Linked DNA regions of Rattus norvegicus. The protein of the gene in region 2 purifies or fractionates together with the protein of the main gene of each other region. This does not show direct contact. Links are inferred from orthologs where the notes say so. Each region holds a gene or a part of one and is shown on either strand. Other genes may lie near its edges. The genes, in order: Nck2 and Lrfn4.

Region 1 (4,353 bases), on a different chromosome or scaffold from region 2:
GAAATACCACCGTAACCCTAGTGTGGCACTGCTATGTCGACCTAAAGAGTATTTTTCATGGCCTGGAGCACTGAGAATCTCAGGAAGTCTACTTCAGAAGAAAGTGGGAGGAGGGGTGGGAATGTGGGTATGGTTCCCTAAAAAGACTCTACCATCACGTTCTCTGTGATTTGTCCAAAGTGAATTGTTGAAAAATAAAAAAAGTCTTTTTTAAAAATTGCACTATTCTGATGGCCTAAAGAAATGAATTATTTTCACCAGGGCTGCATACCTCTGATAGCTTGTTTTAAAAGACTGCTTTGACCTCCTCTGAGCCACCTAACTTACACATAACAGCACAAATGTTGTCTTTTTTTTTTTTCACTTATGCCCTTTGAAAACACCCTGAGAAGTGTTTCCATCACTCATTTTTAGGAAGGAGAAATAATTCTGAAGCAACATTTGAAGTCCCTCTGGATGGGAAAACTCATTTCCTAAGTCTCTAGTGGAAGCTTCCCAGTTCTTTTGTAAAGAAGAGTTAGCTTATGAGCTTCTCCCAACACTGTTCACTGCACTGTTCCGCACGTGGGACAAGCAGTCTTGAATTCTTCAGTCATTAAGGCTCATTCTGAACATCAGAAAATCATTTCCACAAGTCATGTCAGCCCCAGTGCACACTGCAAGCCAGTCACTTAGAAGCATATGTGCCCTACAGAGCAACCAAGTCTGGTCTTGCCAGGGCAAATTAAGCTAATGCAAGTGATCAAATAAAGACCTCCAGGTCGCTACGCAATCAGTGAGTCTCATGGCTGTTTTCAAGGGGTCCAGTCTGCTCCAACATTGGAAAGAGCTGGGGAGATTTAACAAGGATCAAAGCACATTTTCTCAAACACCTGGGCATTGCTGTTTGTCGGGAATGTTCAGTACCCCAACGTACATGACAGAGGTCAGGAATATGACAGGGTCAAAGAGAAAAGGAGGATGGAGACGGAAGCAAGGACTGCTGGGAAAAGCAAAACTGAAAGCCTGGAAAAGGACTGAAAACAGACGACCAGGAGCTGGAAACCACCTTTTATAAGCTCTACCCATTTTTATGAGGTCAGTTTCTCCACAAGTGGGCAAATCACCTATCAAGTGGCCAGAGCTCTCATAGCAACTTCCAATCCTGAAAAACGGGACTCTGTTCAAGCACATTTCAGAAGCTGAGAGCAAGACAGGCAGTAAGCTGTAACTCAAAACTTTACAGCTGCACAAAGTTCTCAATTCAGCTTCAGATCACTTCGACCTTTACTTTCTTCAGTCAAAACTACAGGAACCTACCAGGAGGTGAGAAAGTTTAAGGCGGGATTGTCCCTTGTGGTCACTTAGGAAAGACCCGAAGGTCTAAAACCTTAACTGTCTAAAGTGCACCTTCTCCATGTGTCCATTGGCTGCCTTCACTACATAAACCAGGCACAAGCACGAAAGTCCTGTTTCTAAGTCTGTATCTATAAACTTGGAAAGTGAATGGAGGGAGTGCCCACAGCGCAGTTCAGATGTTCTGATAAAGTAGTGACCTTTAGACTGGAAAACCACTGTTGCTAACTATACCAAAAAACCCAGGCTTGAAACACACCCAAAATTATTCTCATTCCTCTTCAAAATCCCAGCAGAAAAGCCTTCAGTGGGTGAGGAGCAGAGAAGTCTCCAAGGGAGGGTACCAGCAAGCCACGCCCACTGGTCAATGGGCTGTTTCTTTTTGGGTCAACCAAGGAGGCGGCCTGTGCACCTCCAGCCCAAACTCGGACCTGTTCACCACACACACAGATGCAAAGTTGGCAAGACCGGCCTTAAACCTGTTAGCAAAATAAGGAAAGTCAAATACGGAGGAAGCTGCCGACCTGAATGGGCTACGGTGACAGGGCCCATTCCACTTGGCGCCCAGCTGTGTTCCCAAGCTGTTCACAATACTACTGTTAAGTCACGTCTGCTATCCATTAGCCACCACCCGCGCACACCTTCCGGGAGAATCGTTGTTGTGTATAAATAAGTGTTTTCCAAATCAAACCCCTTCACACAATGCCAAGCTAAAAGTGCTCAAAAGGGAGGTGCCATCGGGACATTAAAAGTCACACATCAAATTCTTGCAGAACCACTTGCTTAAATCGCCCTGAATAAACTAAGGGGGCAGAACAACTGGGAAAAACTTTGGTTCAAGAGGTTTAAGTCTTGGAAATGCGGGACCGGGCGCAGGGACTGGAACCAGGCACAAAAGCGCCCTGAGCCGAGGCAAAGACCTCCTTTAGAGAACGTGACAGCAGCTTTGTGCCGGATCACGAAGTACAGTAAGTTCTCCCCGGCCATCGCAGCCTCCCGCTTCCTAGCGCTGTAGCCCTCGGATCCTAGGCTATTCTTCCCAGGCACGCGCGCCCGGCGACTCGACCAAGGTTCGGTCCCACGCCCGCCGGCAGGCCAGGGTTGCTTGTGTTCCCGAGGGCTTTCGGTCCTTGGTCCCCGTTGTCTGCCCGCGGAGGGCGCCCCACCCCCACGCCAGCCCGAGGCTGAGGGAGGCGAGGGCTCGCAGGAAGGTGTGTATCCGAGGTGCGGGTGCCCGGGGACGGCAGGCCGCGCCGGGGCCGAGGGCACTAGCCGGGTGCGCAGGGGTACGCGCTCCCTGGCCCTCCCAGGGCGGCCCCGGCCCGCCCACCCCTCTCTTCCAACTCTACCGACCGGCCCAAGTTTGCAGCCCCCGCCATCGCCTTACCTCGCTGCACAGTGCACGCCGAGGCCGGAGGGCAGCAGCGCTAGTCCCGGGGCGGCGGCCGCGCTGCGCCCGCCCAGATGCCGCTCTTTGTCTGCACCGCTCCCTCCTCCCGCCACCAAGCGGACGCAATTGGACCCGGCGGACCCTGCCGGCCCGGGAGCCCCGAGCCTGCCCGCCGCCGAGCCCACCCCACCACCACTGTCGCCGCCGCCGCCGCCCGCTCGGCCGCGCGCACCGGCCTGCGATCTGCGGCGGCGACCCTCCCGCGCAGCGCCCGCCTCCGCGCGCTCCCCGCCCGCGCTCCTCCCCGGCTGCCGTGACGCCGCCCAGGGGCCGGCCCATCCCGGCGCACGCGGGGCGGGGTACCCACCTGGGAGTCCCGGCCAGGCCTAGGGAAAGCGCCGCCTGCGGGCTTCAAGCCGTAACCCGTTCTAAATTGGAGTTGGGGGCACACGGGAGGGGCTGCAAGGGAGAATGAAGGGCCACTTCCAGCACACGAGACCCGGTGGTCTCCGCACCCCGGCTGTGCCTTGGATTCTTACAGCGATCTCCCTACCCCGCCTCCCCCCAAGCATTCCCACGGCACTCTCAGCCAAACAGGCCTGGTGTCTGTCAGAAAAGTGACTTACGTGAAAATGTCACTTCCTCCCAGTAATTGCTTGTGGGCATTTTCTTTATTTATTTGCCTTGCATTTATTTACTTTCCCATCCAGACACTTTTTTACTCCACCCCACCCCCGGCCCCCCAGGCGGGACCACTTCCTAGTGGGGGGGGGGAGGAGAGGAAACCCGACCTCTGCTGCCTCCGCAGCGCCCTGGCCAGCTTCTTAAAGCCCCGGAATTCTTTAGTACAGGAGGCTGAGAAAGCTTTAGAAGGAAGTCTCTCTCTCCCAGCCTTGAGTAATAGCTAACCTGTAAGCAAACTTGGAAAGCTAGAACCCTAGAGCGAGGGGAAGGAACACATATACCTTACACACCAGAATCCAGATGTTCCTTCTCCAAGCTCCTTCACTCATGATTCCCCAAAGGAAACACTGATATTCAAATGAATTCAGTTTTCCGGTTGGACAACTCACGTTTATGTTAATGAGATTCTACCCTATCTCTTGGCTCCTCCTTATTAAGGAAGGCAGCAGCAATACACCTTAAGTGACCAGGCAGCTGCCTCCCTCCCTAAAGGAAGTTCCCAGGCATAAGTAATCTGAGGAAGCTTGGCACCATCGTCATAGCAGCCTTTGACTGTAGGCTACCTGAACTGTGTCACCTTACATAAGTCTTTCACAACTTCCTCAGCTTTAACACATGAGATGTTTACCTGCCCTCTATGTAAAGTAGCTGGCATGTAGCCGATACTAGGGCATTGGGAGGAATCAGATACAAAATTAGCATACCCAACAGTCTCTTCCAGTCAGAGACGCTAACTTCATCCTTTGATGCAGACCTCATCTTGTTACTATCTAGCTTTGCAACAATGAAAGCAGAGCTCTAATCAATAGTTTAGCCCCACTTAAAATTAGTTTATGCTAAATAAGTAGGACAACAGGGACAGGGTCTTTAAGCGTTTGCTTTGAATGGCAGCCTCAGACTCCTCTCACTGACTCTGTGTAAAATCTCTACGGATATTTGAACTA
Region 2 (4,374 bases):
CACCCAGCTCCCAGCAGCCCCCCATGTACAGAGTGGCTCCGCCGGGCCCAGGCTCCTCCCAGGCGCCTGGCATACCCGTAGCATCCACCGGTGTCTCCTAGGTCCAGGGAGCAGCTGCGCTGGGGACGGGGTGGAGGGCTCCGTGGTGGGTGGCTCTTGGGCATGGGGCTAGTGCCACCATTGGTCTGGGATTGGACATGGCTGAGTTTGAGTGGGAGGCGGCCATTCCCAGCTCCCCGGCCCCGAACCAGCAAGGCCACAGTGAAGACCAGTAAGGCAGCCACTAGGACGCCTCCCACTGCCACAGTCAGGGTCCCGCCCAGCACATGGGCCTGTAGGGCATGGCACAGGGGGGTGGCTGGTAGGGTAGAGAAGTGGGCACAGCCCAGCAGTCTAGTGGCCGTGAGGTCGGAGGGCCCAGCAGCAGGTGACAGGGCCAGCAGGCAGAGGTCGTAGTCAGCACCAGGAACCAGGTGCTTCAGCAGGAAGTGTTGGCTGGAGGCTGGTACAATCCTGTAGGCAAGGGCAGGTGGTCAGAGCCCCAGGGTGGGGTACAGCCCCCATTCCCTTCTTTCAGGTTTGCCCTGAACAGCCCCTCAGGCCTATAAGGCCCTGTCAACACACGCAGAATAGTGCCAGGGCAGGGATGGATGTGTGCACTGACACAGGCCTCAGGTAATAGGAGCTGGGGGTGGGGAATGGAACCAAGCAGAGGCAAAAATACCCTGGGGTGGGGGTCAGGTGCCTTAGCAGACACCCAAGCTGCTATCACTGATGGTCAGGAAGGCTGGCACATACAGCCTCACCTGAGACCCCTTAAAAAGCAGCCACACGTTTCTCTGCCCAAGCCATACTCCAAGAGTTTAGAAGTAGAGGAGCAGGCACAGGCCTGGAGGGGGAACAGGCAGAACTTGGGGGTACAGGGTCAGCAGGAAGGGAGGCACAGTGAACAAAGCAGGCTGAAGGGAGTGTGCAAGGCCCATCCTCACCGGTAGATGAGGGTCTCATCCTCGCTGCTGTTGTACTGGATTTGGAACATCCACACTGGGTCAGCTGGCCGCCCTGGGCCCCAGCTCACCAGTCCAGAGGTGGCAGTCACCTCTGTCACTTGCACGGCTGGTTCAGATTCTAAAGTTCCCTCGCCTTCAGCAGCAGTTCTAGCAGAGGCAGCAATGTCCGAGGGCCCAGGACGGCCCCCCTCAGCACTGGTGTTCCCACCATGGGGCAAGGCCAGTACCCGGAGCTCCACTCGGGCTGTGGCCTCACCGGCAGGGTTGGTAGCAATGCAGGTATAGGCTCCTGCATCTCCAGCGCCTGTCACCCCAATCTCTAGGGTCCCGTTGGGGAAAGCCCAGGCTCGAGAAGAGTTGCCAACCAGCCTGTCATCAGGACCAACCCAGTGCATGGTAGGTACAGGGTCACCAAGAGCCCTGCACCGTAGAGTGGCCCGCTGACCTTCTAGCACCCACAGGCGCTGTGTGTGTCGGGCAATCAGTGGAGGCTCACAGGAGAACTCTCCCTCAGGCACTGCCCAGAAGTAGCGGCCTGCCAGGGTTGGTGGAGAAGCGCAGGTTTCCAGGTCATCAGGCCGGGCCAGCCTCCGCAGCCACAGCAGCTCACAGTTGCAGTGCAGTGGGTTCCCGCTGAAACTCAGCACCAGAGGGGAAGGTGAGGCCTCAGCATCCCGACCCCGAGAGAAGAGTGGATCAGGTGCCAGGGTGGCCAGGCGGTTGGAGGTCAGGTCCAGGCGGGAGAGCTGGCTAAGCTGGGCAAAAACACCTGGGGGCAGCGCATCAATGAGGTTATGGTCCAGGTTAAGGGTATGCAGGGCAGGCATGGAGCCTATGCCAGCCCAGGGAACCTGCCGGAGATTGTTATAGGACACATCCAGGTCCTCGAGACTGTCAAGGAAGTCGTCGAAGGCCCCAGGAGCGATTCGGCCCAGCTGATTGCCACTAAGAATGAGGTGCTGGAGGTTGACAGGCCCCCGTAGGCTGCTGCTGCCCAGTTCCACCAGCCTGTTGCCATCCAGGTGCAAGGAGCGCAGGCTCTCCAGGTCCCCAAAGGAGCGGGCCCCGATGCGGGTGATGGCATTTCGAGACAATGTTAGGTCCACCAGCCCTGTCATGTTGCGGAAGTCAGGTGGTCCCAGGGCCTGGATGAAGTTGTCAGCCAGGCGCAGTTCAACTGTGCGCCTGTCCACGTTGGGTGGCACAAACAGCAGGCCTCGGTGGGCACAAAGGGTGCTGAGCGACTCCGACAGGTTCTGGCACACACAGGGCAGCGGGCAAGCAGCGGCTCCACTGGCCAGCAACAGCAATAGGAGCGGCGGGGCCATGGTGAGTGCCCTGTGGGAAAGGGCCGCAGCCCCAGGCACAGGTGGGGCTAGGGCAAGGGCCCACTTGTGCCCAGGGCACAGTCCCAGGAACCAGTTTCCAGAGTCTGAACTGGGGAAGATTTGGGTAAGATGCTCACGGAGGACCCCAGGGAGGAAAGATGGCTGGGGCTGCAGACTAAGGCCCCCCCAGAGTAAAGGTCACATTTCCCAAGCAGTTGAAGGGAGTCCAGGTACTGGGAACAAGGTGAGGCATGAGGCAGGAAGTGGAGGAGGGCCAAGAGCAGGGAGGGTCCGGGAACTTCCTCCTGGCATCCTCTGAAATGGCCAGCCCCCTCCCCCCTTCGTGCCTTCCCCTTCGTGGCTGAGGATGGCGTCCCCCAAATCCCTGGCGTGGACTGTGGCTCCTCCCCGGGCGGGCCTCCCTCTGAGCCCTGTCGGGGCGGGGGAGGGGGGGCTCACCTGGTGTCCGTCGCTCAGGGGGCTCGGGCTGGCCTCCCCGCGGACCCAGCCGGCCTCTGCCGACTCCAGGCCGCTCTCTCGCGGGAGCGAGGCCGGGCCCGCCAGCCGCGCGCCCTCCGGCCCATGGCGCTCGGGCCCTCGGCCCCGGCTCTCTCGGCTCCCGGCACCTTTTCTCCGCGCCGTTCGCGGTGGCGGCGGCGGCAGGCAGGCGGATGCGCGCTGACGGACACGCGCGCCACGAACACGCACGTGGAGGGTGGACCCGGAGGGGCACAGGGATCCAGCCGGGCCCCAGCCGGGTTCCGGAGGTCACGGGGACACGCGGCCACTGCAGCGCCCACGGGTGGCGCCCAGTCACGCCCGAGGCCGGACCAGGCCCTCCGCGTTGTCCCAAGGCGCTGCCGCAGCGCACTCACCCTGGCACGGGCGCGCGCGCCCTCGGCCACCCTGGCGCCCAAGCATCCTGTAACCGCTCAGGCGGGCGCCGCGGCTCTGCAGACAACCAGACAAAGCGCCAGCTCTAAGGCCCCTTTACCATCTCCCAGAGACGGGTCTTTGTCACATGTCTCTGGGCACCCTCCCCAACACGCCCACATATGCCCACACACCCACACGTCCCCGCACCCACGGGCAGGGCCGGGTGCAAACCCGCACTGTTACTGGGACCCTCGCGTTCGCAGATACACACTGAAGGTCACAACCGTTCTGCATCACCGCGTCACGTGAAGAATCCCCCACAGGTCCGGACCCTGGGGGGTGGGGGGCTGGGGTGGCGCCCCCAACAGGGCTTCTGCGGGTGGGGCCTGAGGGCTTGGCCACGGGACTGCCGTCGTGCCCCGCCCCGCCGCGCCCCTCCTTCCTCTCCTCGGTCTCCCTCCCGCCCTGCCCGGCGCTCCCCAGCCAACCGGCCTCCGCCTCTGGCTGGATTGGTCTGTGCTGCGCGGTTTCCCAGCAGGCTGGCTGTGGCACGCTGTTTGAAGCTGTGCGTCAGTGGTCCTCTCTGTGTCATAGCTCCGCCTCCCCTCTTCTAGAGGGGCCTCTTCCTAGGGAATGTGGTTCGAACGGTCAGAAATGTGAGGTGGACTCAGAACCAAGTTGGGTATCTTGTTTGTCTCCCAGGAATGGTTCACTTAGCTGGGATGGGAAGTTACCACCTCCTGCGGGGCATCTCCTCCTCTCAGACTACCTGGGCCCCTTCTTCCTATTTCCCTCCCTCCGTACCTGAATCTAAGGAGTGCGTGGGTGCCAGGAACTGGGGGAGAAAGAGATTGGATTCTAGTCCTGCCTGGTACAGCTGCACAGCCCTGAGCAAGTTCCTTACCCACAGAAACGGTTTTCTCACGGAGACCTAGGGCTGCTAGTTGCCTGTACTGTTCACACCTAAGGAAACCTTGCAGCTTGAGGGGCTTAAGTCCTTGCAGCTGGAAGCCTCTGCTTGGCTTGTTGCTGGGACACCCCAGCTGTTGGAAAAGTAATTTGGATCTTTCTTTAGTCCGGTCAACTGTGATATGAGGTGGTGCCAGATACTTCTTTTTCTAACCCTAAAGAGTTTCCATTCACTCCAAATACACACATAT

What was found.
Region 1: the proteins of Lrfn4 (region 2) and Nck2 purify together in Homo sapiens (co-immunoprecipitation; 3 studies listed by BioGRID and IntAct, counting the BioPlex papers as one, with this or other methods). This does not show direct contact. The link is inferred for Rattus norvegicus from reciprocal best matches to the Homo sapiens genes LRFN4 and NCK2.

Annotation. Positions count from the first base shown.
Region 1 is NC_086027.1:53,205,435-53,209,787, reverse strand, and holds the start of Nck2 (cytoplasmic protein NCK2), read right to left. Parts: upstream 2,810-4,353; 5' UTR 2,723-2,809; intron 1-2,722. UniProt on the Homo sapiens protein: Adapter protein which associates with tyrosine-phosphorylated growth factor receptors or their cellular substrates. Maintains low levels of EIF2S1 phosphorylation by promoting its dephosphorylation by PP1.
Region 2 is NC_086019.1:211,318,316-211,322,689, forward strand, and holds the start of Lrfn4 (leucine-rich repeat and fibronectin type-III domain-containing protein 4 precursor), read right to left. Parts: upstream 2,958-4,374; 5' UTR 2,798-2,957; intron 2,349-2,797; 5' UTR 2,339-2,348; coding exon 990-2,338; intron 514-989; coding exon 1-513. UniProt on the Homo sapiens protein: Promotes neurite outgrowth in hippocampal neurons. May play a role in redistributing DLG4 to the cell periphery.